2 linked regions of the Pelodiscus sinensis genome follow. The protein of the gene in region 1 purifies or fractionates together with the protein of each later gene. This does not show direct contact. Links are inferred from orthologs where the notes say so. Each region holds a gene or a part of one and is shown on either strand. Other genes may lie near its edges.

Region 1 (14,996 bases):
CAAAACAAGCAGAAGTTTTCCAAGTCTGAACACAGTAAGCAACTTTGTAGACATTCATCAAACTGTGCAGAGTGGGGTAGGAGGAAGAGGGACAGTGCATGTCCCTTCCTCCACTAATATTCCGTATGACATTACCACAAAATACTCCAGTCAGCCCAGTGGTGCGCTGTTCATCGGAGAGAGAGACTTTAAGTCAGACTTCTGATGAAAAACAAACAAACAAAATGTTGTGTTAGCGGGGACAATTTACTACAGAGGATGTGCAGATATCCATCAATTTGCTACAGAGGATGTGGAGATATCCATTAAAAGGGTTGTGTGCTGGTCTAACTAACAGTATCTTCTGGCAACCAATCCAAAAAATTGATTCAAAACCAAGAAGCCAGATTCTTTTCATAAGGCAGTGTAGCATGGAGGAACAAACAAAGGTTGTCCTAAATTAAGAGAAAAGCAGCTACTAATTAATGTTAAATGAATATACTATATAGCACTGGAGTAAAAACTTGACTGCATTTTTAAAAAATTACAATTTTCAATAATACATCTAAATTAGTGTACTTAGAAAGGTTTCAAGCCACAATAGCACTGTTTCCTAATATTGCAATAATCATAAAAAGAGGGTAAACTTAGATTTACCAAAGTTAATTTGTCTTAACGAACCTTAATTATCAAGAAATTTGATATTAGTCATAGAGCTATGTTGAGTTCTTCTAAAAATGTACTTAATGTGCCATTAGCAGAATTCATACTATCTGTATTTTTACAGATTTTAATAACTAACCTCACATAAGAAATATGAAACATCTTTACCTCTGCTTCAAAACTTACTGCTGAATTTTTTCATCATATGGCACATCACTCCTATGACAACTAGTACAAATAACAGGTGCATGTTTATTCATAAATTCAGTACAAGATTATTGAATAATCTATATTTAATTTTGCATTGGCAGTGCTTGGTCAATCTACTATTGCTTTGATTTCCAATTTGCCAAAACAAAGTAAAAGTCTTATTTTTGACAAAATTTTGCTCATCAGAGACATTATTTGCAGCTTCATTGTTAAAACAGAGTTTCAGTATGCACTAAAAAAATTTCTGTATCTTCATTATGCAAGATTAGCATATTGTGCCCCAAACTACAGTACTATCTGAATACAGAATGAAATTTCTGAGACTTTACAAGTCAACTTCTATATTTGGTCACAGTTCAAATATTTGAAATGGGTCCTTTAAGAAATTACCTAACTTATTTTAATAATAGAGCAGCAAGCTTTACAGTTAAAACCTTACATGCAGTCAGTTTAATTAAAACCTAATATCGTCAAAGTTATTAACTAATGCAGTGGTTTTCAAATTATGGGTCACAACCCAGTAATGGGTCATGGCATGTCAGGCACTAGATCTCATTGCTGCAAGGTGATCAGATGACCAACAGGAGTGCTAAGGCAGGCTACCTGCCTGTTCTGGCACTGCAGACTGTGCTGTGCCCCAAAAGTGGCCAGAAGCAGACCTATTTCCTTGGCGGGGGAGAGGGAGGAGAGCACATAGGGCTCCGTGCAATGCCCCTGCCCTGAGCACTAGATGTGTCCTCCCATCGGCTGGGAACCTGCTGCTAGCTGCTTCTGGGGTGCAGGATGGTCTGTGTTGCCAAGAGAGGCAGGAAGCCTGCCTTAAGTACCAGCGCCTTCCCCCTCTCGCCCCCGACTGCACCACTGACTGGGAGCGCTCAAGGTAAGCCCCTCCTACCCCAGTCCTGATTCACCTCCCTGAAGGCAGTTTCCTCCTACACCCCAAAGCTCTCCTTGTCAATCCCACCCCAGAGACCCCATTCTAGTCAAATTATGTTGGGTCAGTGGCACCAACAATTTTCTTCAACTGGGTCATGAGAAAAAAAAGTTTGAAAAAAATCACTCAACTAATGCATCTAGTTATGGCTAAAGTTGAATGAAAAAGGATACTTTTAGCAAATATTTTAAAGAAAGATCCGCCTTGTTTTTAATAAAAAACATTCAAAAATCTAGCTCTACTTATGACTACAGACAGAGGGAGGTTAATAATTTGGGATATACTTACTATTGTGACAGAGGTAGCACAGACTACCACCATTCTTCTACAGCAGGGCTACTCAACACATGTCCTGCAGGCCATAAGCGTCCTGCTGCCAGTTTGTTTGAGGCCCGCAGCACAGTTTGAATTTATGTGGGGCTCAAAACACGGTCAATAGGCGGGAACCAAAACAAAAAAGTAGTCAATATAATGGCCTTCTGTTGATATGAGTTTTAGTAGTTAAATTCCTGGACTTTCATTGCTCACTAAAAGTGCTGTCATATGGGTGTAAATTGGGTAAATATTGCATTTTATTAATATCAGCAGAACTGACAAATGGAACCTGTATCTTGTGTAGTCTTGCCTTAATCTTTGTATTCATGCCCATCAGTGTGAAATAAGATATTTGCATATATATCTGCATGTATATGAAATCACACTTAAGTTGCAGCCCTTGGCATGTGCCGTATCACTGTGGCCCCCGGGACTTCCAATGTTGAGTAGCCCTGTTCAACAGAGAAACTGCATGCCACAATTCTTTGCCAGTGAGACACATATCAGGGTTTTGGGGATTTTTTATTTTGTTGTTCTTGGTAAAGAGTTCTGATTAGGAGATTGCTTAGCTGTTTCCAGTGCAGTGACAATAACTGTCACTGCTTTTAAAAAGTTCCATGGATGACACTAGCAAATTAGGATCAAATTCACAAGTGCTCTGTAGTTGCTTGTACAGCTCTAATGACATAAAGCAGCTATAAACCTTACTGACATGGCTAATATATTCTGGCTTCTTTGTGGTGCTTCAAAGTGATTCAAAGAAGCCAAAATATACCAGCGAATCTGGCCTTAGTTTACAATTTCAAAATAGCTTAAGACTAATATACTACACATCTTTAACACAGCAAAACCATTAACTATCATATTTAAGTTTGTTTTGTCTTTTAAAAATGTCTAACATGAACCTCATTTAAAAATAACTATGTTAAACCAGAGTTTCAATAGACACAATGTATCTGGGATTTCATAGTAAAAAACAGAACAAAAGCATTAATAATTCCAAAACCAACCATTATAACCCCAAATATAGACAGTGTTACATTTAGAAGAAATCCAAATTTGTTAAAGGTATGAAAACAAAGTTTAGACACCAGAACAATATTAATTCTACTCTCTCATGACACCTTGCAATAACTACATAGTTAAGGGTGAACTTGAATCCCCTAAATTGAATGTTTGTAGTCCCAGAACAAGTTAAATCAATGTTTAAGGCTCGTGATATGAAAACATTAAAACAGAAAAATATGGAATCACAGAATAGACATAACAAGAACAGTAAGATTTACAGGTGCTGTCTGAAATATTACAGTTTCTTAGTTATACAGCTTAGATAGAATCAGGTGGTGTACAAAAACCTCCACTAAGATCAAGGGCCCAGAGCCATCTAGTGGCCATCAGATAAATCAGAAGGTTGCATTATTCTTGTGGTTTGCAAAATTACTTTTCTCTTGTAGACACAATGGCTACAATTAATTACTGGACCTCCCGTTCTTTTGAAAGGGGGAAATAATTAGAAAAAGCAAATTCAAACTATAAAAATGTTTCACTGACATTTACCAATCAAGGCTGATTCACGAAGCTAGTATTTCCTTTGCGACTAGACTCTGCTCAGCCTGTCACAACTTAATTCAACTTGAGAATAAAGACACCATCCTTCCAGCTCCTGTACTTAAGTGGTTCTCCAAATGGAGACAAGAAAACATGTCACTGAACTCCTCAGCAATCTCCCCAGAAAAGAATGAAGGATGCACACAGATCCCACTCACCTGGAAGATGAAACCAAAGCATGTGATCACAATATTCTCCCACATCACAAACGAAGCAGCCACCAGCCTAACAGGCTAGGGAGAGGCAAGCACCCTACTCACTCCTGCCCTTTCATGTGGTGGCTCCAACACCAGGCTTCCCAGGAACTCACTGCTTATTCAACACAGACTCTGCAGCTGTCATGTAGCTGGCAGGGTCTAAGCTGTCAATATGTGCATTCATGTCTGTCCCCTTCAGTGCTGAATGGGACAATCAGGCTCTGCAGCTTCCGCTTCCATACACAAGATGCAACATTTGCACATCTCTAAACTGCTGCTCTCAGCAAGAAACAGCCACATATAGGGCTAAGGTTGCTATAATCTCAAATGGAGCTGTAAGCATTTTAGTTGGACGAAGCCTCATTCTGTCCTGCTCCCAGTTCTGGGCAGTACCCCAGTCCATACTATCTCAAGAGCATCTCAATACCCAGCTTCATCTGCAACAGCAGCTGCTGCCACTTCATGATGACCCTCAACCCCAGCAGTTAGAGCTTGCAGTATCAGAACCCAATTTGTGCCAGCTACCTTCCCCCCCCCCTTCTCACCCCAACAACCCCACAGGATTCCACTTAACTGACTCCACATGGAACCCACATCCAGCCTCCCCTTTTCCCACCACTGCTGCAGATTGTCCCATAAAAACTTTGAGAGCTGTTGCTGCGGAGTAGGATGACTTGTAGTGTGCCTGTGCCCCATCTCATTTTCCTACCACTTCACACGCTCCCAGTGCTACTGCTGGGCAAGAAAGCAATCTGGTGTGATAACTTCCATCTCTGATCCTGCATCCCTCCCACTTCCCCCCAGCCTGTGCATTACAAACCATGGGGAAGGGTACCTGTCTAGGATGACAGAAAAGGGTTGCAGGATGGCCTCAAGACAGGGATAAGGGTTTGGGGAGTGGGGCTTCCCCGGGAGCCTTTGGCAAGGTATTCTGCATGAAGACAGTGTACCTGGCCAAGGGCTGAAGGGGAAGCAGACTTAAAAGGGCCATAGGTTTTCAGAGAGAAGCCATCTTGCCTTAAGTCAAAGTACCAGGGCAAGGAACTTGTCCTGGTGAGGGAACAGTAACTAGAAAATGGGCGCAGTACATGACTGTCCATAACAAGATTGAGACTATGCAGCTTTTAGCAACAAGGCTGTGTTGACACTTTTGCCAACAAAATACTTCTAAGCTCCCTGCAAGCAGCTTTCGCTTTGTCGGCAGGAAAGCACACCTGCCAACAAAGCAGTGCTGACACTTGCACTTGCCGCAACAAAACTTTGGTAGTCCAGAGAGAGGAGATTTAAGCACTCATGAACAACAAAAGTTTTGTCAATCAATTGCAAGTGTAGTCATCATAACCTAAAACTTAGATGGTGGGTCTCACACCTGCCCAGGAATCTAAGACACCAGCTGTGTAACCTCTCTGGGTGTTAAACAATAAGTGTAAAACATGCCACGGCAGATCCAGTTGGGGCAAGCACTTTGACTGCTCTAGAGAACTGGACAGGCGCACCCATTAAGCACCCAATGAGCCGGCTGGCAGGGATTACAGTTGCAGAGGAAGTGCATTACCCACCCAGTAATAGACAGCAAACTGGATGCTGCCTATCAGAATCACCCTGTCATTAATAGTTACTGGGCCAGGCAATTTGTTAAAGAGGGACTCCAGAATTGAAGAAAAAAAAGAAAGAATTGAGCTCTGTTCCCGGGGCGCACCCTGGGGAGGAGTGTAAGAATATTATCCACATGGTAGTTCTAATGGGGGGCGATTTGCCTACCCCACAGCCCCCAGGGGGTTGGGGTTAACACCTAGCTCGCTCATTGTATAACTCTGGGTCCTGGGGGAAGGGGCGGTACCTGCCCTTTGACTCAGGACGGGCACATGGCGAGTGGGTGCATTATCTGCATAGTTGGGAAACCAGGGATTACCTGCGCGGATGCTCTAGGTAGCAACGGGAAGGGATGCACCCTGATACATTCGTCCTCTGTCCTAGGACCTCGCTGGCAACTCAAGTGAAGCCTGTATGACACGCCAGATAGCTGGCTAATGGCTGCAGGGAGGGCGGCCCGCCTGGCGCGGGAGGACGCGGCCTGGGGGTGCGTTACCTGCTCGGGTGGCTTCCCGGATCCCTGTCGCTCAGCGCCGCCGTGTAAATCTTCCGGTAGGTGTCTGCCAGGGCCCGGCCCGAGAGCAGCAGCTGGTAGCGGTCCCGGCAGCCCGGCGGTGGCGGCCCCGCCGCCCCTGGCAGCGCGCCCAGCCCCATGGCTGAGCTCTCCTCGGGCCCCACGGCCCCGGCCAGGCAGGAGCCGCTGGAAGAGGAGAAGCAGCAGCCGCCCTCGGCCCCTGTCTCGGTGGCACCGGCGGCGGCTCCTGCGGCGGCCGCGCACATCCCCCTCCCCGCCCCCTGGCGGCTGAGCTGCCTCCCGCGGCGAGACACGGTCACAGGCGGCTCCCGCTGCCCTCACCGGCGGGGCCCGGCCATGGGGAGGCCACAAACGGCAACGCCAAGCCGGGCGCTGCTCATCCGCCCGGGCCGGGCGCGGTGACACCTGGGCCTCGGGCCGCGCAGCCGGCGGAGGCCGGTCCCGGAAGGGCCGCGCCGAGGAGCGGGGGGCGAGCGCGTGTATCCGCTGGCGTCCCGCGGGCCCCGCGCCGCTCGCTTCCTCCTCCCGCTGCAGCAGGGGGCGAGGCCGGCGCCGCGTCCCCTCCTCCCCCCTCGGAGTGTCTCCCAGCCGCCGCCGCCCTCCGCGCAGCCACCTCGGCCCCACCCCCCTCCGAGTGTCAGACACACACACACACGGCGCGAGTGCGCAGGCGCGGCAGCGCCCTCCCCGGGAAATCCGGGAGCGCGCGAGCCTGTCAGTCTCAGCCGCCCCTCCGCGCGTTGGCACCTGCTGCGCCAGAGCGCCCCGGCTCCGGTACCCAGGCTGCAGCGCCGAGCGGCGGATAGCGGGGAGGCGGCTGCGGCTTACTCAGCCCTCCCGCGACCCGGTGCGTGCATGTCTGCACCATACAAGCGCTCCCCCGGCTGCCTTCACACGCATCACACTAATGTCTCAGAGCTCAGGGCTGGTAGGCACTTTGTGAATTATGCAAGGCGTGGTGTGGCCAATTTTAGCAGTTGGGTCTTCAGGAGAAACACGAATTGATACAAGGATTGGCAACACAGTGGTCAGAGCTTTATGTCTGCAGTGATTGTTACCGTCGCAGAATTTAGTCCTGGATACGGGGTCTCAGCTTTTGTTTTACTACAACTACATTTATAGGTGCAGAAATAATCTAAGGTGAGCCTAATCCAATGGGAGTTTGCTGAGTAGGACACAATGCATGTGAGAAGAGACAACTGTCAAAGTTTTCTAAGCCCAAAATTCATCATTTCTGCGATGGAATTTCTATTTTTGCTGCACCAAGGAGCCTGGTTTATTTATTTTTATCTTCCTTTACTACTAAAGCCTGCCTGCTGCGGCCTTTTTGTTTCCAGCTTTCCCAGCAAATAATACCTATCTGGATAAAGGAGCCAAACAAACAATATCAGATTTTATACAATCCTAAAACTGGAAGAAATCTCCTGGGGTCATCAAGTCCAGTCCCTGGCAGTCATGGCAGGACCTAGAATCATCTAGAACTTTCCTAACCGCTGTTTATCTAACCAGCTCTTAAATATCTCCAATGAGATTCCATAGCCTCCTTAGGCAGTTTATTCCCACGCTTAATCACCCTGACACACAGCTTTTCCTAATGTCCAACCTAAACCTCCCTTGCTGCAGTTTAAGCCCATTGCTTCTTGTTCTATCGTCAGAGGTTAAGGAGAACATTTTTTCTCCCTCCTCCTTGTAGCAAATGGGAGAAAAATACTTCTAAAAATGTTTAGGTATATTATTAATATAATCCAGATGCTGAGCGTCTTGAAAATGTGCGTATTTAGTAGCATGTTGTACATGTGTGTGACATTAGTGATAACAAAAGATTTGAAGAGAAGGATATTGGCATTGGAGAGGAATTGTTATAGAAAGATCCTGAGAATAGGATGGATGCAGAAGGTTACCGATGAGGAATTATATAGGAAGATACAGCTGAAAGAGAATCTACTGCAGAAGGTTATACAATGGAAGTTACAGCTATTTGGGCATATCTGCAGAATGAAAGATGAGCAAAAAGTTAAGACCCATTCAGCATAATGGATGGTCTGAATAGGAAAGGTGTACCCCACAGAGAATGGGAAGATGACATAGTAGATTGATGCGGAGGTAGTCCACAGACACTAAGCCACTCCGCACTGGACAGGGAAAGATGGAAGGAAATAGTGAGGGAGGCACTGGACACCAATGGGCTCTGAGCCCATGGTTGTTGATGATAAGGAGGAGTGGGGAACCTCTGGCATGTGGCCCAGACCCTGCCCCTTGCATAATTTCATCAAGCCTGCAGCAAATCTCTGTGCCATGGGCTGGAAGCCCTCAGCCTCGCAATTTGCGTAGCTTTTTCCACTCCTTTTTTTCGGAAGAGGTTTTTCCAACATTTGGCCTGTCTACACTGACATCCTTCTTCCTTGTAAAATGATGTTTACAGGGATGCCGAAAAAGCGTGTCTGCTCTTCCAAAAGAAATTTCAAAAGAGCAGACGTTCCCTGGATGCAGCAGAGTTTTTCCGGGATACTATCAGTATCCCGGAAAAACTCTTTAGTGTAAACATAGTCTGTGAGTGCAATCCAGGAAGCTCTGCAGGAAGCTCTAATTTTTTTGCTGGCACCATCCCCACAGCTCCCATTGACCAGGAACCATGGGCATTCTCTGCAGGGGCATTCTCTGCAGGCAAGGGCAACACACTGAGTCACTTCTCCCCACAGCCTGTGACCATGGGGACATGTGCCGGCCACTTCCGAATCTGGGACCTGCTGTAGATAAGCACCCCACACTCCCTCCTGAACCCTAATCTCCTACCCCAGTCCTGACCTCCTCTAGCACCCTGACTCGCTCCCAGACCCTGTACTAGGGATGTTAGATATCAGGTAATTGAATAGTCGAGTAACCACATGAATTCTTATCCGTTACTTGACTACTCTGTAGTCACTGGGTGGGAGGCAGCAGCCAGTGTGCTCTGGTCCCACTCCTGGGAGTTCCCTGCCATCATGGGCTACAGCCTTTTTATCAGAGGCAGTAGCATGGGGTGCCAGGCAGGAGCTGGTCTGTGAAGGGAGCCTGTTTAAAAACCAGCTCCCCATGCAAAGCAGCTGTCTGCCGCCCTGCACTGCTGCCTCTAGATCAGATCTAGAAGCAGCAGCGTGGGTTGGCAGCATCTTCTGTTCATGGGTGTCCGAGCTCCCATGGCAGAGGCTGCTTCATGGCAGCCTCCCTTGCCCCTCCCCCCTGCCTTGGCTTATCGGTTAATCGTATAGTTAACTACATATAGACTTCTCCACCCTGCCCCATCCTAAGCCCTCTCCTGCACCCCAAATGCCTCATCCAAAGCTTTACCCTAGAGCAGGGGTTCCCAACCTTTTTTGGTCCCCGTACCCCCTTGGCTTTTATTAAACCTTCCCGTACCCCCTATTCAATATGAAAGGAAATAAATTTTAGACTCTAGAATCCACAACTTTTTTCACTAACACTACTACTTTTGGAATATTTCAATTAGTTATTTACCAAATATTCCCTGGACCCCCTTGACAAGCTTCTCGTACCCCCTGGGAGTATGCATACTACACTACAACCCTCTACCATATCCTGGATCCCCCCCTCCAGCACCCTGAACCCTTCATTTTTCGGTTTTCAGCTTTCCTGACTTGATAGATTGGATGCCATTGCAATTTACAACAATCCCAAAGCATAGGAAAAAAACAAAGCCTCTGTGCCCCCCTCACCCTGTGAGGCTGTGTGGCCCATGCCTTTTTTTTCTGAGGGGTCAGTAGTTAACAGTAGACTGGTAGGAAAAAGTTTCCATACCCTTGATACCCTTTATAATGCCTCATTAATTCGGATAGCATTTTATAACCATAGATAAAGGCATGTTCCTTCTCCCAAAAAGTTAAAACTCTAAGGCATGGGTTCCCAAACTGGGGGGCATGAAGAAATTCCAGGGGGGACATGAGGCAAGGCAGTCCCTCCTCCCCCAACCCCCTCCAATCAAGTTTTCCAGCCCTGGTCAAAGTTTCTTTTTTTTTTCCCCCTCAACAAGTTTTGCTGCTATTTTTTGGAGTGGGGGCTTGAGGGTTTTTCAAAAATCAAAAAGGGGCCTGATGCCGAAAAGTTTGGAAACCACTGCTCTAAGGCCACTTCTACACAACATACTTTGGTTGTAGCAAGTTACATTATTCATTGTAAAGCTACTGCAATTAATATATAGCTCATGCATGGGCATATTTGGCTGATTGCTTCCCTCAGAAAAACTTTGGATACTTTCACCTATCGAGTTTGTAAGTCCTTCCCCTTGTGCATACTCACCAAGAGTGCCTGTTTTGATGCACAGTGCAATGCATCTCAGGTATGCATCCAGTATGCCACACTCCACTATCTAGCACACTGTCTTTTGGAAAATGCATTACAGGCAGTCCCCAGGTTACGTACAAAATAGGGACTATAGGTTTGTTCTTAAGTTGAATTTGTATGTAAGTCCGAACTGGCTCCAGATTCAGCCGCTGCTGAAACTGATCAGCGGCTGACTACAGGAAGCCCTAGGCAGAGTTGCTCTGCCCCCGGCTTCCTGGAATCAGCCGCTGATCAGTTTCAACAGCGGCTGAATCTGGACTCCTGGTTCAGAACAGCTGGGGCACTGCCAGGTAGGTCCCCGCAGGACCAACCCGGCAGCACCCCAGCTGCTCTACCCCAGGCGTCCCGCAACAAAAGCCTGGTCTGCTGGGAGGGGGGCGGACTAGCTGAGCCCCCTCCCCCCCCCCAGCAGACCAGGGAGCCCCGAGCAAAGCCGCGGAGGCGCAGAGGTCCCGCCGCCTCTACGGCTTTGCTCCTGTCTCCCTACTGTGCTGGAGAGTCCCTCCCAGCACACCAGGGAGACCCGGAGCAGCTTTTCTCGCCCCGGAGGACACGGTGGCGGGACCGCTGCGCTCTGGGCGGTCCCGCCGCCCGCGAGCTCCGGGGCGAGAAAAGCCCCGTTCGTAAGTGCGGATCCGACATAAGTCAGGGACTGCCTGTATATGGCAGAAATGGGTTATGCATGGGTCATTTGGAACAAAGAACCAAGCTCCCATCACACAAATTTTTCCATCCCATAATGCCATCCATCCCCATTGTTTTTGTAACTTAAAAAACCATCTCAGAAGCCCCTGCAACACTTTTCACTGTCTATGACAGAAGCATTGAGCTCTACAGAGCCCTGCACTATTGTCAAGAATGTTGCAAATGGAGGCTGCACAATCCCCTGGTACTTGAAGATCCACAGAAATAACTGAAACGCTGAGGGATATGGTGGATTATTTGAGAAAAGATTGCTAAGGAACATAGCAAAATCCTAATAAAAGTTGGTGGTGGTAATCACAGACCTTTTGTAGATGATAAACACTGCTTTGAGGCCTAAAAAACAAGCACTTACTGAAGATCACATTGTATTACAGGTTTTGGACAATGAGAAGTGGAAAGGCTACACCCATGGATCTGTGAGCCAAGTTTGCCCCAGCTCTCTGGTACAAAAACATCAGGATGGAAGCCGCACTGACAGTTGAAAAGGAAGCTTTGCTACGAGTCAGTGGAAAATTATTTCCTAGTTGTAGAGTCCACACTGGAGGCCATTGCCATGTACTTGTGTAGAACTGAATCATCTCCCGCTGCACAGGACTGTGACTCAACAACGTGCAGGACATAATAGATAGATCTGCCTCAATGTGATTCCTGAATTGCAGTGGGCAGAGAGATGGCCATCCACATATCTGTTCTGGTACCAGCCCAACTTGCCTCAGAGTACATCAACCAAAGGAGATATTTTATTGACTGTTATGCAAGTGTTCATGGATCACCAGGAACACTTCACTGACATGGACATGGACTGGTCAGGGAAGTTGGATGAAACTCACAGCTTTAAGAACCAGAAAGCTGCAAGAACAGATATTTTTTTCCTGACAGGTGAATTGCCATTGGTTATACAGGCAGTCGCCGACTTACGCGGATCCGACTTATGTCGGATCTGTACTTACGAACGGGGCTTTTCTCGCCCCGGAGCTCACAGGCGGTGGGTCGCCACCTGTGTCCTCCGGGGCGAGAAAAGCTTCTCCCGGTCTCCCTGGTCTGCTGGGGGGGTCCAGCAAAGCTGCTGGACCCCCCCAGCAGACCAGGGACACCCGTGCAAAGCCGCCCAGGCGGCGGGACTCCCGCCGCCTGGGCGGCTTTGCTCGTTTGCCCCGAGAAAAGCTGCCCAGGCAGCGGGAATCCCACTGCCTGGGCGGCTTTGCTCCTGTCCCCCTGGTCTGCTGGGGGGGGGGGTCCAGCAAAGCCACTGGACACCCCCCCAGCAGACCAGGGACACCCGAGCAAAGCCGCCACCTGGGCGGCTTTGCTCCCGGGCAAACGAGCAAAGCCGCCCAGGCGGCGGTTTTGCTCTGGTGTCCCTGGTCTGCTGGGGGGGGTCCAGCGGCTTTGCTGGACCCCCTCAGCAGACCAGGGGGACAGGAGCAAAGCCGCGGAGCACGCCCGCAGGGGGACAGCCCAAGCGCGCCCAGGCTGTCCCACTGCGGGCGTGCTCAGCAGCTTTGCTCTCCATCTCCCTGGCCGCGCTACTGGAGCAACCCAGCAGCACCCCAGCTGCTCTGCCCCAGGCGTCCCGAAGTCAGCCGCTGCTGAAACTGACCAGCGGCTGACTACAGGAAGCCCGAGGCAGAGTTGCTCTGCCCCAGGCTTCCTGGAATCAGCCGCTGATCAGTTTCAGCAGCAGCTGACTTGGGGACCCCTGGGTTTCTTAAGTTGAATCTGTATGTAAGTCAGAACTGGAATCCAGATTCAGCCGCGGTTCAAACTGATCAGTTTCAGCAGCGGCTGACGCCAGTTCTGACTTACATACAGATTCAACTTAAGAACAAACCTACAGTCCCTATCTTGTATGTAACCCGGGGACTGCCTGTATTGAAATGCCAACAGTGAACCTACATGACCTACCGCATCTTTTTCTTTAGTCCATGAAACATACACTGGTCAGTGTGACAGTACGAAGGAGTGATTCAACTATTGCCTTAGCATGTGCAGAATGATAGCTGAATATTCTTTTGGTAGCCTAAAGGGACGCTGACAGTTTATACTCACAAGATTGGACTTCAGTGAGCTATAGTGAGCTTTCAGTGGTTATTTCTATCTTTCTGGCCTTCATAATATTTCTGAGGCAAAGGGGGGAAAGTTGGTATCAAGGTGGAAGTGAAGCATCCATCTGATGACACATGGTCTATTAGAAGAGCTCAAGATGGAGCTATGTGGCTGAGGAGGATCTTGAAAGAGCACTTGCATTAATGTGGTATAGAGGACTGTGGTCCTAATGGCCCTTAAATTTTGGATGCTATTGGGAGTGGTGTTGTGTATATATATATGAATATTACACTGTCTCTAACTGAATTTATGAATTATGCAGTGAGTTTATAAATTATTATTCTGTTTCATTTAACATGAGTTCTGTGATCCTTTGCAAATACAAACAGTGGGCAAGGCTGGCGCCATACTTCGCTGGGCCCTGTGCAATGTGGGCTCGGTTCTGAGACCCCTGGAAAGGGCAAGGCCTCAGGCAGAAGGGGCAGGGATAGGAGCAGCCAACTCTCAGCACTGCCTAGATAGCACCACACCTCCTCCAGCCAGCCCTCAGTGCTGCCTCAGGCTCTAAAGGCAATTTAAAAGGCCCAGGGCTCTGGTCCCAGCAGCTTGGAACCCCAGGCCACAGTGCAACTACCCCCTTTGCCTCGTCTTTCATTAGTGACCATGCCAGTTGTTGCTTTGGGTAGCAGTCAGCATTCTGCAACGTATATTGTGAAGTGAAAAATATTTATTTTCAAAAATAGAAATATCTTGTGTACAAAAATTGTGAAAAAGTGCAAAGGGCAATTACATGGCAAGCCTATCAAAAACTTCAGAGATCGTGGAACTAGCTAAAGTAATTCCAAATAATATTTTTGGGGACCTTTCCTGTCCTTTGAGTGAGATAAGGTAGAAAATACCAGAGATGAAAGAGGCAGGGGCTAATTTTCTCATTTGGAAGTGTGTCTGCAAAAGGTGAGTGCTTAAGAGGCAAGTAGTGCATACTCAAACTCACATGACTTGAATAAATTGAACTACTGTGACAAACAATGTGAAGAAAATAAACTTTTTCACTTGATTATATACCAATGGTTGGGTTCTGGATTACAAGCAATTAGGACTGGAAATTCTCACTGATGAGAAGAAATTTGAAATAATTGGCATTATTGAAACCTAGTGAGATGTTTTGCAGAATTGGAATGATACTCATTGGTCATAACTTGTTTAGGAAGAACAGAGTTGGTAAAAGTCAGAGAAAGCACTCTACATTAAAGATGCTATTCCATATTTTAGAGTTATCAGTAACAAAGAACCATAGAGTTCATATGTATCAATGTGCTAACGCACAAAATACAGGTGAGAATACCGAATAGAGGCTTTTACAGACCTTTCAATTAACCAGAGAACATTTCAGGAACAATTTAAGTTTCTCCTTAAGCATTTGTTTGATGTGTGGAAAGAAAATTAATGTTGTTATGGAGGAATTCAGTTTGAGAGGCATGCCAGAGATCTCATGGCACCATAAGTGAATAATTAACATGTAATTTTAAGAAGATTCTGTTGTAAGTCAAAAGACATGCACCCAATATGAGTAACTATTTTTGTCACATTATGATTGATAAAGATGAACTAATTACTAAGCTGGAAGTTGATGGTTTCCTAGGGACAAGCAATCGTTACCCGACCAAATTCAATCTGGGCAAATTGTACAGTTCCAATTAGTAATATACAGTGTTTTAAAAGGGCAAATTTCTCAAAACGGAGGAAAATTAGGAAAAAATTGACTGGGAAGAAAAGTTTAGACAAAAAATAGTGAATGAGAATTGGGAGTTCCTAAAAAAGAATGTATTTGCCTCTTAAGCCAAAAATCCACAACTCTACAATCAAGAAAGAG
Region 2 (15,308 bases), on another chromosome or scaffold:
AGTGAGTACATCCCAGCAGCAGTAGTATATTTGCTTTACAGCAGCCACTTTTACTACAACATTTATTTGAGCAGACACCAACTTTAAACATATTCAAGCCTCTCCTGTTAGATAATGTTTGCACAATTGTCAGACCTGGAACTCCCATATATGTGCTTTTCAGGAAAAGGGGCTATGTATTCTCCATCTTGAGTAACTAGAGCAGCATTTTCAACCATGTTTTTCCTTCCCTTCTAATTGCAATATGAACTATTTCAATGACACCGTCTGCACATTAAATAAGATGATTGTGTGAGACCCGGCAACATGAAGTTAAGTTTCTTCCGTGGGCTCCCTCACTCCCGTCCTTCTCTTTTACATTCACTGGGTTCTGAGCTCACCAGTCCTGGGCTCACCTAAAAACACTTGCTCAGAACTGGACCATATCACAACACAAACATGTTCAACATGGATAGATTAGAATTCCCAGCTGGCCCATTCTCAAACTTTTAAAAAAGAGTTAGTTTACGACTGGGGATCAAGCAGCTGCATTCAGGCTGATGGCGAAGCACTCATGCATCTGGTAACAGGGGTAAATGGCTGCGAACCGGGCAAATGGTTGTTCACAAAACAGGTGGTTGGTTGTTTTGAGAGAAAGGAGAAACACAGAGACTCCTTGTGATCTGAGACCCGTCACCCCCTACATTCATTTTGATCCCCTCTCTATTTCCCATAAAGAATTAACAAGTACAGACTCATCTATCATGCAGACCCACCACTCCAGTAGCTGTTCATCTCTTCCCTCACCCCATCTTCCTATAGCCCCTTCCCAGCACAAAGGAGCCTTGCCCTGTTCCTCCTTGTAGTACTAACACACACAACCCTTTGTGACCTGTTTAATGTCTCGTTCAGGGAGTGCAGAGATATAGTTTCTTTGGTCATCTTCATGGGGAACAAGAAGAGAAGAATTGCAAATTCAACAGGCTTGAATCCTGGCTCGATCTTCTCTCTTGTGGGCAATCGGCAGCAGCGTGGACAGAAGATCTGACTCTGGGTAAAGGTCATATTGCACAGAGGTCTTTTTATAGCTAGTACATCCAAATATAGTTTGGAAACACACAAACACGTCTATAAACATGTTACTTAATTATGAATCTGGCGCAGCTCCTCCAACACAACAAACATCCCAGTTGTCTTTTACACAAATGACACAAAGATGACTTGCCCTGTTCAGCTTGTACTTGATGTATTAGTTGTATTCCTATAGGATTTATGGACAAGGAGTACACTGTGCTAGCTGATGTACAAACACAGAACAAACATACCCAGCTTTTATAGAGACACAAGATGGATGAGGTAGCTCTTTTATTGAACCAGCTTTTGTTGGCAAAAGACAGGCTTGTCTCTTTTGCTAACCAAAATGGATCCAAAAATATTACCTCACCCACTTGTCTTAATATCCTGGGATCAACATGGCTACAACACTGCAAATAGCTTTTATATGGTGCTTTTCATCGGTAGCTTCAAGCGCTTTGGGGAAACAGGCACAGAGCAATGTCCCTCAAGGTCGCCTAGCAGGCCAGTAGCACTGCCAGAAATAGTGCTCAGGCTCCCTGGGTCCCAGTCTAGGGCTGTATCCACTAGACTACACTGCCCCCCAAAAATCTATGAGTCAGACAATAGGTGGTGTCTCAGCACCTACTGCTGTCACATTTTCTGTAGGCTCCTGTAACAAAGGGAAGTCTGACACAAACGTAGAGGAGAGAGAGCTTTGTGGATGTTTGTTGGGGGAGGCGTAGTAGAGGAGAAAGCCTGAAGGAGCTTGTTTAGAAAAATCCAAATGTGCAACAGAAGCTGGCATCACTGGCCAGCTGGGGATGGGTGTATAATGTTGGCATCAAATGTATTCACAAACTAAGTGGCTTTACATAAAAAAAATGCATGTACTTTCCATGCTGGAAAATCCATGACTGGATAGCTACTGAAATTTGACATCAGAAGAATCAAAGCTTTGTTGCTACACACATTTGAGCTGATAGCCGACATGTTTATTTATGCTACTCTGGATACAACACGTGTGCGCCAACAGACTAGCATTGCTTGAACTGAAAAATTAGACAAATGTGGCTTGCTATCATTTATTAATCACCGACTCCCCTTTTCATTCTCAAATCAGAGGCTGGGCCCTACCATGCCTGCCCCTCTTGGATCTCTTCAAACCTCTCTCAGCCTCACCCTATTCCCATAGCTTCCTGCATTGCTGTGAGGGACTTGGACTCTAAAGTGGTGAGAGAGATGCCCTCATTGTTAAAGTTAATTCTAGAAGTGTGTTTACTGGCCTTTTGTTCAGGATATGAGGATCACCAAGATAAGAGCAGCACACAGATTCCCACTGCCATAGCGTGGATGCCTCTAGACCCTGATACATTCTGACAGTGGGCATTTCTTTGTCATCCTCAAAACGTCCGAGTGTTACATATTCAAAAGCAGAGGGTAAGAAAACAAGATCAAGCATACACAACTGTAAGGAATCTTTTAATCTTTAGTGAAGCACAAGATGCACAGTGGGTTACTCAGGGAGGCAAAGGGGAACGATAAGTATTGTAATTATAGGTTTGTTCTTTTCTTCCAATAGAACATTCCATTATCCCATTATCTCACCACTTGTTTCCACGCCCCCCCCCCCCAAAAAAAAAGCTTCTGACAAACATTAATTAACCTTATTTTAGTGATATCAGAAAGTTCAAAGTTCAGGGCAGAGATCACTCCTTTGCATGTATAATCAAGGAGACAAAAATAATGGAATTGGCCCTACTGGTTCCCAGACTAAAGTACTGCACTTTCAACACACGAGTGGTTTAGGACATCCTGGGGAAATAAGCTCTCTGAATTATGTGCACATCCCATAAGAGCGTGAAGTTTATGAAATAACTTCAGAGGCACGGGATTCACATTTGGTCACATCGCCCTACACGAGGAAGCTAACAGTCCATTTAGGGTGGAAGCCTGCTTGTCATACTCATGCAAGGAGCCCTTGACATCAATCAGACTTTTTTGTAAGAAAGAGAGCAGCACCTGGCCCTCTATTTTTATTACACTCTGCACTGAAGTTCGAAAATGCTCAACTTCACACTTTTGCATGCAGGGTTCAATAGGGTAACCATACAAGAGCTAACAGGAGTGCAGGGAGGGAGAAAGGTTTTGCCGAGATGGATTTAAAAAGATATTTTTGCCTCTGAGACACATGAAATCAAAGGACAAACCAAATAAATAAATGTCCCACCATTTTGTTTGTCTGAAAATCCCACTTTGATGAGCTTTAAATCTATTTAACTCACTTCAGTAATCTTCATTATATTAAATTAGAAATAGTTCAAACATGCTTGCACCCCACGTTTTCAGGTGCTGCATCTTAGAGAACAGATTATGTCCCATTTAGGCCTAAACTACCAGAAAGTTTGAAATGGGGAAAGCAAAGCATTAGAGAGGTAACGAAGCAAAGCAGGAAAATAAATTATGTTGTTCTAGTGCAGGGAGTTTGGAGGACTCCTGTCAATTGTGCTTTCAGCAAAGCTTACCATGCCCACTGATTTATTTTCTTCCCGACTGAATACCATCTCTCTCACAATGTTTGCAGACTGAAACATAAAATGTTACAACCTGTAGCATGAGGCTGCCTCAGTGTCTGCAAGTCCTCTCGGTCCATTTCCAACCAAGTCACACCTATATTCAAAATGCACCTTCTTCCAATCCCACAAGGAGATAAGGAAGTGAAGAAGCTCCCCTACTGAAATAGGGAGTGATGTTATTTATGTGCATAACGTGCCACAGCAAATTCCAGGCCACTTCTAAACGTGCAGAAGAGCTGGGGATTATTTAAGCAACAGGAAGATTACTCTCCATGGGAACCAAGAGGAGAGTGTTCTGTAAGGAACCACAGAGGCCAGCTCGCAAAAATTAAAAAAAACCACTAGCTGCTTGCCAAGACTTCCTTAAACAGTGTGTGTCTAGGTCGCATTCAGAGGGTATACAGATATACAGCTGCTCTGGTCCGCAACTAATACCCTCCTCAAGCCTTTGATCGCTGTGCATGAAATCCAGTTCACCTTCTCTCCATGTTCTATGCTTAGTTTTGGTAAAACTCGGGCATGTTCATTTGTAACCATGGTGTTGGGCTCTCCACCTCTCTTGGGGGAAGCTGATGTTCTGGCCTTCCTCCGGTGGATGGATTTCACAGGACTCTTCAATTGCTTCCCGGCTTCACTGCCGACATCCCACAGTAACACCCTTCCATCATTTCCTCCAGAAAGCAGCCAATATACATCTGGCAAAAAGAGGACCTGAGACACGCCCAGCGTGTGAGCCTTAAACCCCAGCTCCTGTTCAAACTTGACCCCTGTTACTCGGAAGATCCTGATTTTACCATCTTCAGCTCCACAACTAAAGACATTACCGCATGCTGCAACAGACAGAGAATGGGCGAGGGGAGGGTTAAAGAACTGGCCAGCTGATTGTTGTCCCACTTCCTCTGCTTCGGTCTCCTGCAGGGTCGTGGTCCACAGTGGGCGAGCTTTCTGCAGGTTCCACAACATAACCTTCAAATCAAACCAAACAAATCATTAGAACTACATCTGCGGAAACAGCCCTCCTTAGAATAGCTAAGGCTTAACCCTGGAGGTGAAGAGACCACCCTGAATGTTTGGAGGCATCAGGGAGAGGGAGCCATGACAAACTGACAATTGTAGCTATGTAACTGAAAACACACCGATGTAACTGGGAATGAGAACAGTGCTGAGAATCAGATACTTTCTCTGCAGGGACCCATTTCATTTCCCGATCTATAAAATGGGAAGAACACCTACTTCATGGGGTGGGAGGGTAGGTTGATGACTTCATAGGAGATAATGCTGAACACATTTAAATACTATGTAATTATGAACCAATTTCAGGATAACATACTAACAGTTCAGGAGAATCCAAACCTCTGGCTACTATGCTAGGGCCACATTAGGAGTGTTGGAGAGCCATGTTAACAATCCCAGAATGGAGGAGCAGCACAGCAAATATCATCTAACAACTCATATCGAGTAGACATTTAAGTTTTCTAGCCATCATCCACCTTCTACTATAAAAATCACCTTCATGTCCAGTCCACAAGACACAAGGCTTTGAGGGCGCTGAGGCCGAAAGGCAACAGAGGAGCAGATGTTTGAATGCCTCCTCAAGGACCGGCTGACTTTCTTATTTTCCAAGTCCACAATTTTTATCGCCCCAGAGTCATCTGCAGCAGCCAGGACACTGTCAGTCTCATTCACTGAGAGGCAATTGATCTCTTCCTCATTCAGATGGAAGCATTCAGCTGGCCCTTTAAGGAATCTGACATCCAGCACGCTAATGGTTTCGCCGTGGGAGGTGTACAGCCTGCTGGGGCAGGTGGGAGAGAACACAACACAGGTGACATCATCTGCCCTTGGGAGCTGTATCTGTTCTAAATGAATCCCTTCCTCGTTCCACATTGAGAGTTCTCCTCTCTCTGCTCCAGAAGCCACCAGACCGTCTTTGTTTACATTCAAGCACAGTACAGAAGAGGAATGTCCATCCCGCCACTTGACTGCCATGATTCTTCGGGGAGTCTGTGAATGAAAACAAATTGATGCATGAAGAATGCACATGTGCTCGGCTGACTCAGTAACGTGTCCTGTATGAGATGTTAGTGTCCCTACGGTAAAACAGACACCTGTAAAGGTAAACTTGTGAACTGGAACGTGGGCTCAAACAGTACTGACATTTTGTATCATCCCTCTTTGCTGCTTCACCATGAGAAGTGCTGCGCCTGGTTCCTGAACTATACTAAAGCACTGTCTGCTAATCTTGAGTAGCTGTCCAGATGGAAGGTACTTCAGCCATGACCCCTGCAGAGCACTCAGTACAATGGGGTTCCACTCTCTGACTGGTGTCTCTACGTGCCATCACAACACGCAAGTTAAAAGTTTCTAATGCACTTACTGAAAAGAGCAGCAGGAAAGGAAGTCTTGGGACTTGTCTACACGGAGTAAGAAAACTGTATAAGACAAAGTTCTAGTCTTCCTAAACAATAAGCTTATTTTGATGCTTATGGTAGAGTTTGCATGAAGTAACATCACAGTACACTGAAGGAAATAGTTTAGCTATACACAGCAGAACCCACACATCAGAAAGGAAACAACATCCAAAGATGGTATACGGAAAAAATGAAAAGTCACCAAGGACTATCTGTGAAGACAGAATGACGTAAATTGGTGGAGTTCAGAGAAGAGCTGAACAAGGGTTAAATATGAGCTCGAGAAGTAATCTGTGGTGCAGAGGAACTGAAGGAGAAAAGACTGAGGTGGCTGCTCCAGCCCAGCTAACCTGCTGCACTGCAAGCGGTGGGGCTGCCCCCACACAAACATAGTGTTGAACCAGTTAACTTTTTAAATGACACTTTACATTGTTAATTGGTGGCTGGTTCAGACTTCTCAGAGCCTGAACTTCAGCTAACTTGAAATGTGCTTGATGATCATGTTTATCCTTATTAGTTGGGAGTCATCAGCAAGCACGTCTATAGCTCTGCTCCTGCAAATGGATCCACCTAGAAACACCCCGCCACTTGCATAAGTCACATTGTAGGCTGGAGCTGAAAAGCGCGTTGTAAGCAGATTGACATGCCATGGCTGAAACACAAAGACATTCAGCGCTTCAGCAGTTTGGCATTCCAGCCCCATGACGTAAGAAGCACAGTCTCTACTGGAAGCCAAGCGTGAATTGCTCGGATTTTGCGGGGAGCACGTTTGCCAGCGCTGCATGGACACGGGATTTGCATTCACACCCGTATCGGCACAGGCCCCGCCCACACCCAGGAAGCCCGGCGGGGAGATGAGCGCGAGCAACGAGCGGCGATGGGGCCCCGGGCTGAGCGGAGCGCGGGGGACACTGTGGGAGGAGGGGTGGGCGGGAGGGATGTACTGGGAGGCTGAAGGGACGGCCCGGGGGGGGCAGGAGGGAAGGCCCGGGGGGGGGGGGGGCGGGACGGACGCAGGCCGCGTTACCTCCAACCGCACCAAGCACTCCGCGTCCCTCCCGCCGCCTGTTCCGGCGCGGCACGATGACGTCATCCCATCGCGCCGCTCGGTTCCCCCCACCCGCGGCCGCGCATGCGCTCCCATGGGCCCGGGCGGGCTCTGCCCTTCACCAAGATGGCGCCGCTTCCGGCGGCCGCCTGCCCGCGCGGAGCGGCCGCCACAGCCGCTGCGGGGGGCGCGGGCCGGCCGCGGGGGGCGAGGCGCGGGGGGGTTGGGCGGCGGCGCCCGGCGCTGCCCGCTCGGCCCCTGCCGCCCGCGCGCTGCGCTCGCTTCCGCCCGCTCGTGTCGCCCGGCGGGGGCGGGCGCAGGGCTCGCGCCGCCCCCTGCGCCGCCGCTTCGCGCGAGGCTGGCGCGCGCCGCCTCAGGGCTCTGTCGGCGCGGGGCCGGCCGGCCGGGCGATGGCGGCGGGCGGGGCGGGCTGGCGGCTGCCCGGGCGCGTGCTCGAGCTGGTCTTCTCCTACCTGGAGCTGCGCGAGCTGCGGAGCTGCGCCCTCGTGTGCCGCCTGTGGCACCGCGTCCTGCACGGCGACGAGAACAGCGAGGTGTGGCGCAGCCTGGCCGCGCGCAGCCTGGCCGAGGAGGCGCTGCGCACCGACCTCCTCTGCAACGTGCCCAGCTACAAGGGCAAGGTGCGCCCGCCGCTCGGGCCGCGCTGCACCCCCGGGCCGCTCCTCTACCGCGCTGCGACCTGCCCGCCTCCCCGGGGCGCTCCTCTGCCGCCCTGCACCCGCCCTGCTGCCAGCCCTCCTCCGCGGGCCGCTCCTCTGCCGCGCTGCAGCCTGCTCGCCTCCCCGGGGCGCTCCTCTGCCGCCCTGCAACCTGCTCTCCTCCCCGGGGCGCTCCTCTGCCGCGCTGCAACCTGCTCTCCTCCCCGGGGCGCTCCTCTGCCGCCCTGCAACCTGCTCTCCTCCCCGGGGCGCTCCTCTGCCGCCCTGCAACCTGCTCTCCTCCCCGGGGCGCTCCTCTGCCGCCCTGCAACCTGCTCTCCTCCCCGGGGCGCTCCTCTGCCGCCCTGCAACCTGCCCGCCTCCCCGGGGCGCTCCTCTGCCGCCCTGCAACCTGCTCGCCTCCCCGGGGCGCTCCTCTGCCGCCCTGCAACCCGCTCTCCTCCCCGGGGCGCTCCTCTGCCGCCCTGCAACCTGCTCTCCTCCCCGGGGCGCTCCTCTGCCGCCCTGCAACCTGCCCGCCTCCCCGGGGCGCTCCTCTGCCGCCCTGCAACCTGCTCTCCTCCCCGGGGCGCTCCTCTGCCGCCCTGCAACCTGCTCTCCTCCCCGGGGCGCTGCTCTGCCGCCCTGCAACCTGCCCGCCTCCCCGGGGCGCTGCTCTGCCGCCCTGCAACCTGCCCGCCTCCCCGGGGCGCTCCTCTGCCGCCCTGCAACCTGCCCGCCTCCCCGGGGCGCTCCTCTGCCGCCCTGCAACCTGCCCGCCTCCCCGGGGCGCTCCTCTGCCGCCCTGCAACCTGCCCGCCTCCCCGGGGCGCTGCTCTGCCGCCCTGCAGCCTGCCCGCCTCCCCGGGGCGCTGCTCTGCCGCCCTGCAGCCTGCCCGCCTCCCCGGGGCGCTGCTCTGCCGCCCTGCAGCCTGCCCGCCTCCCCGGGGCGCTGCTCTGCCGCCCTGCAGCCTGCCCGCCTCCCCGGGGCGCTGCTCTGCCGCCCTGCAGCCTGCCCGCCTCCCCGGGGCGCTCCTCTGCCGCCCTGCACCCGCTCTCCTCCGCGGGGCGCTGCTCTGCCGCCCTGCGACCCGCTCGCCTCCCCGGGACGCTCCTCTGCCGCCCTGCGACCCGCTCTCCTCCCCGGGGCGCTGCTCTGCCGCCCTGCGACCCGCTCGCCTCCCCGGGACGCTCCTCTGCCAGCCCCTGCAACCCGCTCTCCTCCCCGGGGCGCTCCTCTGCCAGCCCCTGCAACCCGCTCTCCTCCCCGGGGCGCTCCTCTGCCGCCCTGCAACCTGCTCTCCTCCCCGGGGCGCTCCTCTGCCGCCCTGCAACCTGCTCTCCTCCCCGGGGCGCTCCTCTGCCGCCCTGCAACCTGCCCGCCTCCCCGGGGCGCTCCTCTGCCGCCCTGCAACCTGCTCTCCTCCCCGGGGCGCTCCTCTGCCGCCCTGCAACCTGCTCTCCTCCCCGGGGCGCTCCTCTGCCGCCCTGCAACCTGCCCTCCTCCCCGGGGCGCTCCTCTGCCGCCCTGCAACCTGCCCGCCTCCCCGGGGCGCTGCTCTGCCGCCCTGCAACCTGCCCGCCTCCCCGGGGCGCTGCTCTGCCGCCCTGCAACCTGCCCGCCTCCCCGGGGCGCTCCTCTGCCGCCCTGCAACCTGCCCGCCTCCCCGGGGCGCTCCTCTGCCGCCCTGCAACCTGCCCGCCTCCCCGGGGCGCTCCTCTGCCGCCCTGCAACCTGCCCGCCTCCCCGGGGCGCTCCTCTGCCGCCCTGCAACCTGCCCGCCTCCCCGGGGCGCTGCTCTGCCGCCCTGCAGCCTGCCCGCCTCCCCGGGGCGCTGCTCTGCCGCCCTGCAGCCTGCCCGCCTCCCCGGGGCGCTGCTCTGCCGCCCTGCAGCCTGCCCGCCTCCCCGGGGCGCTGCTCTGCCGCCCTGCAGCCTGCCCGCCTCCCCGGGGCGCTCCTCTGCCGCCCTGCAGCCTGCCCGCCTCCCCGGGGCGCTCCTCTGCCGCCCTGCACCCGCTCTCCTCCGCGGGGCGCTGCTCTGCCGCCCTGCGACCCGCTCGCCTCCCCGGGACGCTCCTCTGCCGCCCTGCAACCCGCTCTCCTCCCCGGGGCGCTCCTCTGCCGCCCTGCAACCCGCTCTCCTCCCCGGGGCGCTCCTCTGCCAGCCCCTGCAACCCGCTCTCCTCCCCGGGGCGCTCCTCTGCCGCTCCTGCAACCCGCTCGCCTCCCCGGGGCGCTCCTCTGCCGCCCTGCAACCCGCTCTCCTCCCCGGGGTCCTCCTCTGCCGCCCTGCAACCCGCTCTCCTCCCCGGGGTCCTCCTCTGCCGCCCTGCAACCTGCTCTCCTCCCCGGGGCGCTCCTCTCCCGCCCGCCCGGGGAGTCTGGAGCCTGCTGGCCTCCCTGCCTTTGCCGCTCCTCCTACACCGGGCTTGTAAAAGCCTTTGAAATGTGGTGGGAACGAGCTGTAAGAGGTTAATGCATTAATTCGTTTCATGATTATTCCCTTCTCCCTTTCTGTGGTTTTAGGTACGGGCCTTTCAACATGCCTTCAGCACCAATGACTGCTCCAGGAATGTGTACATCAAGAAGAATGGATTCACGTTGCACCGGAACCCTATTGCTCAGAGCACAGATGGGGCAAGGACGAAGATTGGTTTCAGCGAGGGTCGTCATGCCTGGGAAGTTTGGTGGGAGGGCCCTCTTGGCACGGTCGCTGTAATTGGAATTGCCACAAAACGGGCTCCCATGCAGTGCCAAGGCTATGTAGCGCTTCTGGGCAGCGATGACCAGAGTTGGGGATGGAATCTGGTGGACAATAATTTGCTACATAATGGAGAAGTAAATGGGAGCTTCCCACAGTGCAATAATGCACCAAAATATCAGGTAAGTGAGATGAAGCACCAGCTAGAGGTTCTGCTGCATCTGTGGCAACTGTCCTGCAAGAATTGTGGGACCAGGACAAAACTTCATTGCCCAATAAGCCTTAACACTGTTCTTTAATATGGCCCTTTTCTGTTGTAAGCATGTCTGTCTCCTAAACCTGGCTCACGTAGCTATGTATGCAATGCTTACCTGTTGAGGGGCAAAATTTACCTTCTTCTCTTTTTTCTGATTTACTAATTTTTTAGATTACGTTCCTGTTTGGTGTACAGATTCAGGTTCCAGCATTGTCTCCTCCAGTTAGAATAAAAATAATCGTGTACCATTCTTATAATTTCAAATCTTATGTGAAATTATCCTACATTCATGCAGCTACCTCTTTTAAAAAAAATAAGAAGTACCAGAGCATTCTGTATGCTTTAAACAAGGATTTGTCCCTCAATATCAGGGCTGTTTGATAAGCATTATGTCATTTGTAAGTGTGTTGTACATCGTATTGTAAGTGTGTTGGGTCTAGTTGATAATCGGGTAGGAATTCTCCAAGGAAATTCTGAGTGATGCTGACGCGATGTTTATTCAATAACTGGTATTCTTAGAGGTGACATCTTTTGGATTAAACATAACATTAAAGTTCAGATAAGGTGCCTTAATTAAAGGGTGCATGGCTTTTTTCCCCCTCCAAATCAGTGGTTTCGCTTTGGCCAATTCCACTTTTGGACAACTATATTCTGCCTACTAGATTTTTTGACAGCACAGCTTCAATTGAATACACTAATACTTCCTGACTTACACTGTTATGTAGAGTTTTTGTGTGATCCACTTCAGATGTGGCTGCATTTCAGTGGGTGAACATTGTTTAATGCAGGGGTGAAGAACCTAAAACCCAGGGACCAGATGCAGTCCCTGGCTTGCCTGGATCCGGCCCCTGAGGCTCACGGGCCCCCCCAGCACTGGGGAGCCTGCACTGGTGCTCCAGCCTCCCTACCCTCCCATGAGGCTTGAGCACATAAAATCTAAAAGCCTGGGCTCCCCTAAGCTTGGTGTGCGAGGGGAATGTAGGGGAGTGTCTTCCTCCCTCTCAGTTAGGAGCCACATAAGGGAGGGTTTGGGTTTTTTGTGGTTTTGCTTCTCACTTGTGTGCAGCTCCCAACTGATCTTTCTGTGGATCAATGGCCCCGACTCAAAAAAGTTTCCTCATTCCTGGTTTAATGTATATGATACAGCCGGTCCCCGAGTTACGAACGCATCGACTTACGACCGTTTGTATTTACAGCTAACCTCCTATACAGCCGGTCCCCGAGTTACAAACGAAATCCGCACTTACAAACCGCACGGCTGTACGTCAGTGAATATAATCCTACTTACGAACAGATCGAGTTACGACCTTGTGTTTGGTACGTAACTTGTTTATAAGTTGGGGACCGGCTGTATTCCTAAATCCCCACTCTAAAGTTCGCTGTCCAGGTGGTATAGCAAACATTATCTGTGTAATGGTACTTACTTTTCAAAAATTGCACTTTTCTCTGAAACATTAACCTATGATTTTTATGAGCAGACATGAGATTATTGGAATTTAGAGATCAGAGAGACTGTCTTCCTATAGCTGAGTTTGTACATTTGACAGCATTGTGTGTAGTCACTCTACTGATTGATTTTTTTTTTTGTGATCCATTCCCCTTGTTTGGATCTTTCAAACTCTAATGGGAAAGGAGGGTGGGAAGAACTTGAAACTGCAGAACTGTCATGGAGACTCAAAGATATGGTGTAGACAAAACTGCTTTGACATTAACTTTTAAACTGACTTGATTTCAAGTTGATGTCTCTTTAAAGAACGCTCGGATTGAGTAAAGCATGTAACTTGATCTTTTCTTTTATAAAATAAAGACTAAAAAGAATAAATTCTTAAGTGCCATTTTTGAGGTTCAGGGTGACTCCATTTGAGGGTGGATTGATGCTTCCACAATATAGAAGCTTGTGCAGTGCCATGGTACTCCTTGCTCTTAGGAGCTGTGACTTATCTAAATTTCAAATCATGCTCTAGGTAAATGAGCTGGCATGCAATACAATGTTTATTTGCTGATCTGTGATTCTCTCAGCGCATTCAGTGTTCACTGCTCTAGAAATGTCTTTTCGAGAGGTGGGGGGGAGGGCAAATGGGAAAAGCATACACATAGTTTTGAACTTTCCTGCTCTACTGGTAAATTGAATCATAGAATCATAGAATACTAGGACTGGAGGGGACCTCGAGAGATCGAGTCCAGTCCCCTGCCCTCATGGCAGGACTCAGTACTGTCTGGACCATCCCTGACAGACATTTATCTAACCTACTCGTAAATATCTCCACAGATGGAAATTCCACAACCTCCCTGGGCAATTTATCCCAGTGTTTGACCACTCTGACCGTTAGGAACTTTTTCCTAATGTCCAACCTAAACCTCCCTTGCTGCAGTTTAAGCCCATTGCTTCTTGTTCTATAATAAATAAATAAAAGTGTAATGCTGATGCTCAGAGTGCACACTTGGCCAAAAAAGTTTTTTAGTGCACCTGGCATACAGCCCTTGCTTCTTAAAACCAGTTCTGTGGCTTTAAAATCTCTGTATAAAGGCTTTGCATATTTATCATAATAAAAGCTATCTTCAGAGTCATGGGAAATACAGGGTGGAGATGATTGCAAAAATTGCCACATGCTGCAGAACACTGAAGTAGATGCAATGCAGTGTAATAATTGTTATTAGCAGAACAGTCACATGTGAAGGGCCCATGCATGGTGCATGTAGCATTGTGATGGTTACAGGAAAACACTGTTAATCTGATATTTTCTGTGTAGCTATAGAGAAACTTACTGTGCATCAGTGAAACTGACACTCCCCCAGAAAAATTAGTTCATTTATATTGAGAAACAGAAAAATGCCCTTCTTGTAGGGTCTCCTCTTCTATTCTCTGTGCTATTTTTGTTTTCTTTCCTTTTAATTGTTCTCCCTTTGAGTATTTCCTGACTCTTTCTTCTTCCTATCTCTGTTTGCAGATAGGTGAGAGAATTCGAGTCATCTTGGACATGGAAGACAAGACATTAGCATTTGAGCGGGGTTATGAGTTCTTGGGAGTTGCTTTCAGAGGATTGCCAAAGGCCTGCCTATATCCAGCAGTGTCTGCTGTGTATGGCAACACAGAGGTGACTTTGGTCTATTTGGGAAAACCTCTGGATGGATGACATTGTTTCATTGGGACATCAAGATGTGGAAGATCTGGAGAAGCAATCTGCATGTTAACTAGAGGGAAACATGAACTTGAAATGAAGTGTGCGTGTGTATTCATGAAACATCCTGGAAAACAAAGAATTGTGATTTGGAGAACCAGCCATACTGCAGAAATTGTTACATTTCCTTTTTCTATCAAGCCAGAAATATCCTCAGGGTTGGAGTTGGTTGAGTGGGCAGTTCACACATGCATGTTGCAACAGTTTTCATTGCTGAAATGGCTGTATGAGATTTCAGTTACTAAGGAAAGGTTTTATAGACGTGCTTGAGGAAATTAACCTGAAATTTGTTGGTAGCGTTTTTTGTGAAAGACTCCCATTTTAAAACTGTGTTCCTGCCTGCCTGCCTGTCTTCCTTCCTGGTTGGCCAGTGTGGCTACCGGAGGAGAAGGATTGGCTGAGTTTTATTTATATTTTTTAACATACTGAGAAGCATGGTCTGCCTGGACTGCACTTCTCATATACAATGAGATATAAAATGTGTGCAGCTATTTTTAAATGTATTTTAAAGCTTGTATATATAGAACATGTAAAAAACATCCTGTTAAATAAGGTTGAATTTGTTCTAAACTGGGATATAATTTCTTAAAGGAGAAACCACTACGTGGAATTAGAACATCCTCTGTTGGGAGATAGCATACTTGCAAGTGTTGTAAAGTGTCTTGAGGTGCTTTTGTGGAAGAAGATGGGTTCATAGGTTCATTTGGATGTGATACAAAGTTTCCCTGGTTAGAGCAATTGTTTTTCTGTGATAAAAAGAAGCCCCCCCATGAGTTATATTTTGCCATAAATTCTGATTCCATATTGACAAAGGAATGCAAACCCATTTGCATCTTCTTGACACAGAAAAACCAATTAATCTCTAACAAATCATAAAATGTATAATATTGTAAAATGAGTCTTTCAAAGTCATATGAAAAACAGGGTTGAAAGTCATGGCTCTAGATTTTATTTTTCCGTTAAAATGTTTTAAGGATTTAAGGTTTCCTTTGGTTTGGCTTGGGTTTGGGTTTGTTTTGTTTTTTAATAATGGCCCAGATATCCAGATGCATGATCTGTCCACCTACAGCCAAGAATAGTACAATTCTCACCTGCCTCTGACAGGAATTCTGGATCAGGTCTAGTGTGCGGGGTTTTCACCCTTTTCATTTTTCTAAAAACTACTATTCACAAACTTGTCAGAATTACAGTACTCATGGAATCTGAGAAGGCTGTGAGACCAATTACTTGTGTCCCATGAAGAACATGTCGGTGCTGTGCCAGCAGCTTTCCACGAAGGCTGAAAGCTAAGCAATGATCTAAAAAACTGCCAGCCTATATGATGAAAAATGCCAAGTTAGTCTTCAACCTGGCAGTAATGTCTTAATCTCTAAGCCTTGAGGCCCTCCTTTGGTGCTGAAATTTTATTTCTTATTTTTTTGTTTCTCCAAGGTACACAGAGCTAT

What was found.
Region 2: the proteins of MYCBP2 (region 1) and FBXO45 purify together in Homo sapiens (affinity purification with western blotting; 7 studies listed by BioGRID and IntAct, with this or other methods). This does not show direct contact. The link is inferred for Pelodiscus sinensis from reciprocal best matches to the Homo sapiens genes MYCBP2 and FBXO45.

Annotation. Positions count from the first base shown.
Region 1 is NC_134711.1:266,229,888-266,244,883, reverse strand, and holds the start of MYCBP2 (E3 ubiquitin-protein ligase MYCBP2), read right to left. Parts: upstream 6,867-14,996; 5' UTR 6,280-6,866; coding exon 5,996-6,279; intron 1-5,995. UniProt on the Homo sapiens protein: Atypical E3 ubiquitin-protein ligase which specifically mediates ubiquitination of threonine and serine residues on target proteins, instead of ubiquitinating lysine residues.
Region 2 is NC_134720.1:547,525-562,832, forward strand, and holds the start of FBXO45 (F-box/SPRY domain-containing protein 1), read left to right. Parts: upstream 1-7,393; 5' UTR 7,394-7,477; coding exon 7,478-7,708; intron 7,709-10,253; coding exon 10,254-10,610; intron 10,611-11,880; coding exon of another isoform or gene 11,881-12,001; intron 12,002-13,632; coding exon 13,633-13,818; 3' UTR 13,819-15,308. Other genes in the region: SMCO1 (single-pass membrane and coiled-coil domain-containing protein 1), read right to left, coding at 872-1,044; WDR53 (WD repeat-containing protein 53), read right to left, coding at 3,987-4,574, 5,118-5,612, 7,047-7,163. UniProt on the Homo sapiens protein: Component of E3 ubiquitin ligase complex consisting of FBXO45, MYCBP2 and SKP1. Functions in substrate recognition but also plays an important role in assembly of the complex.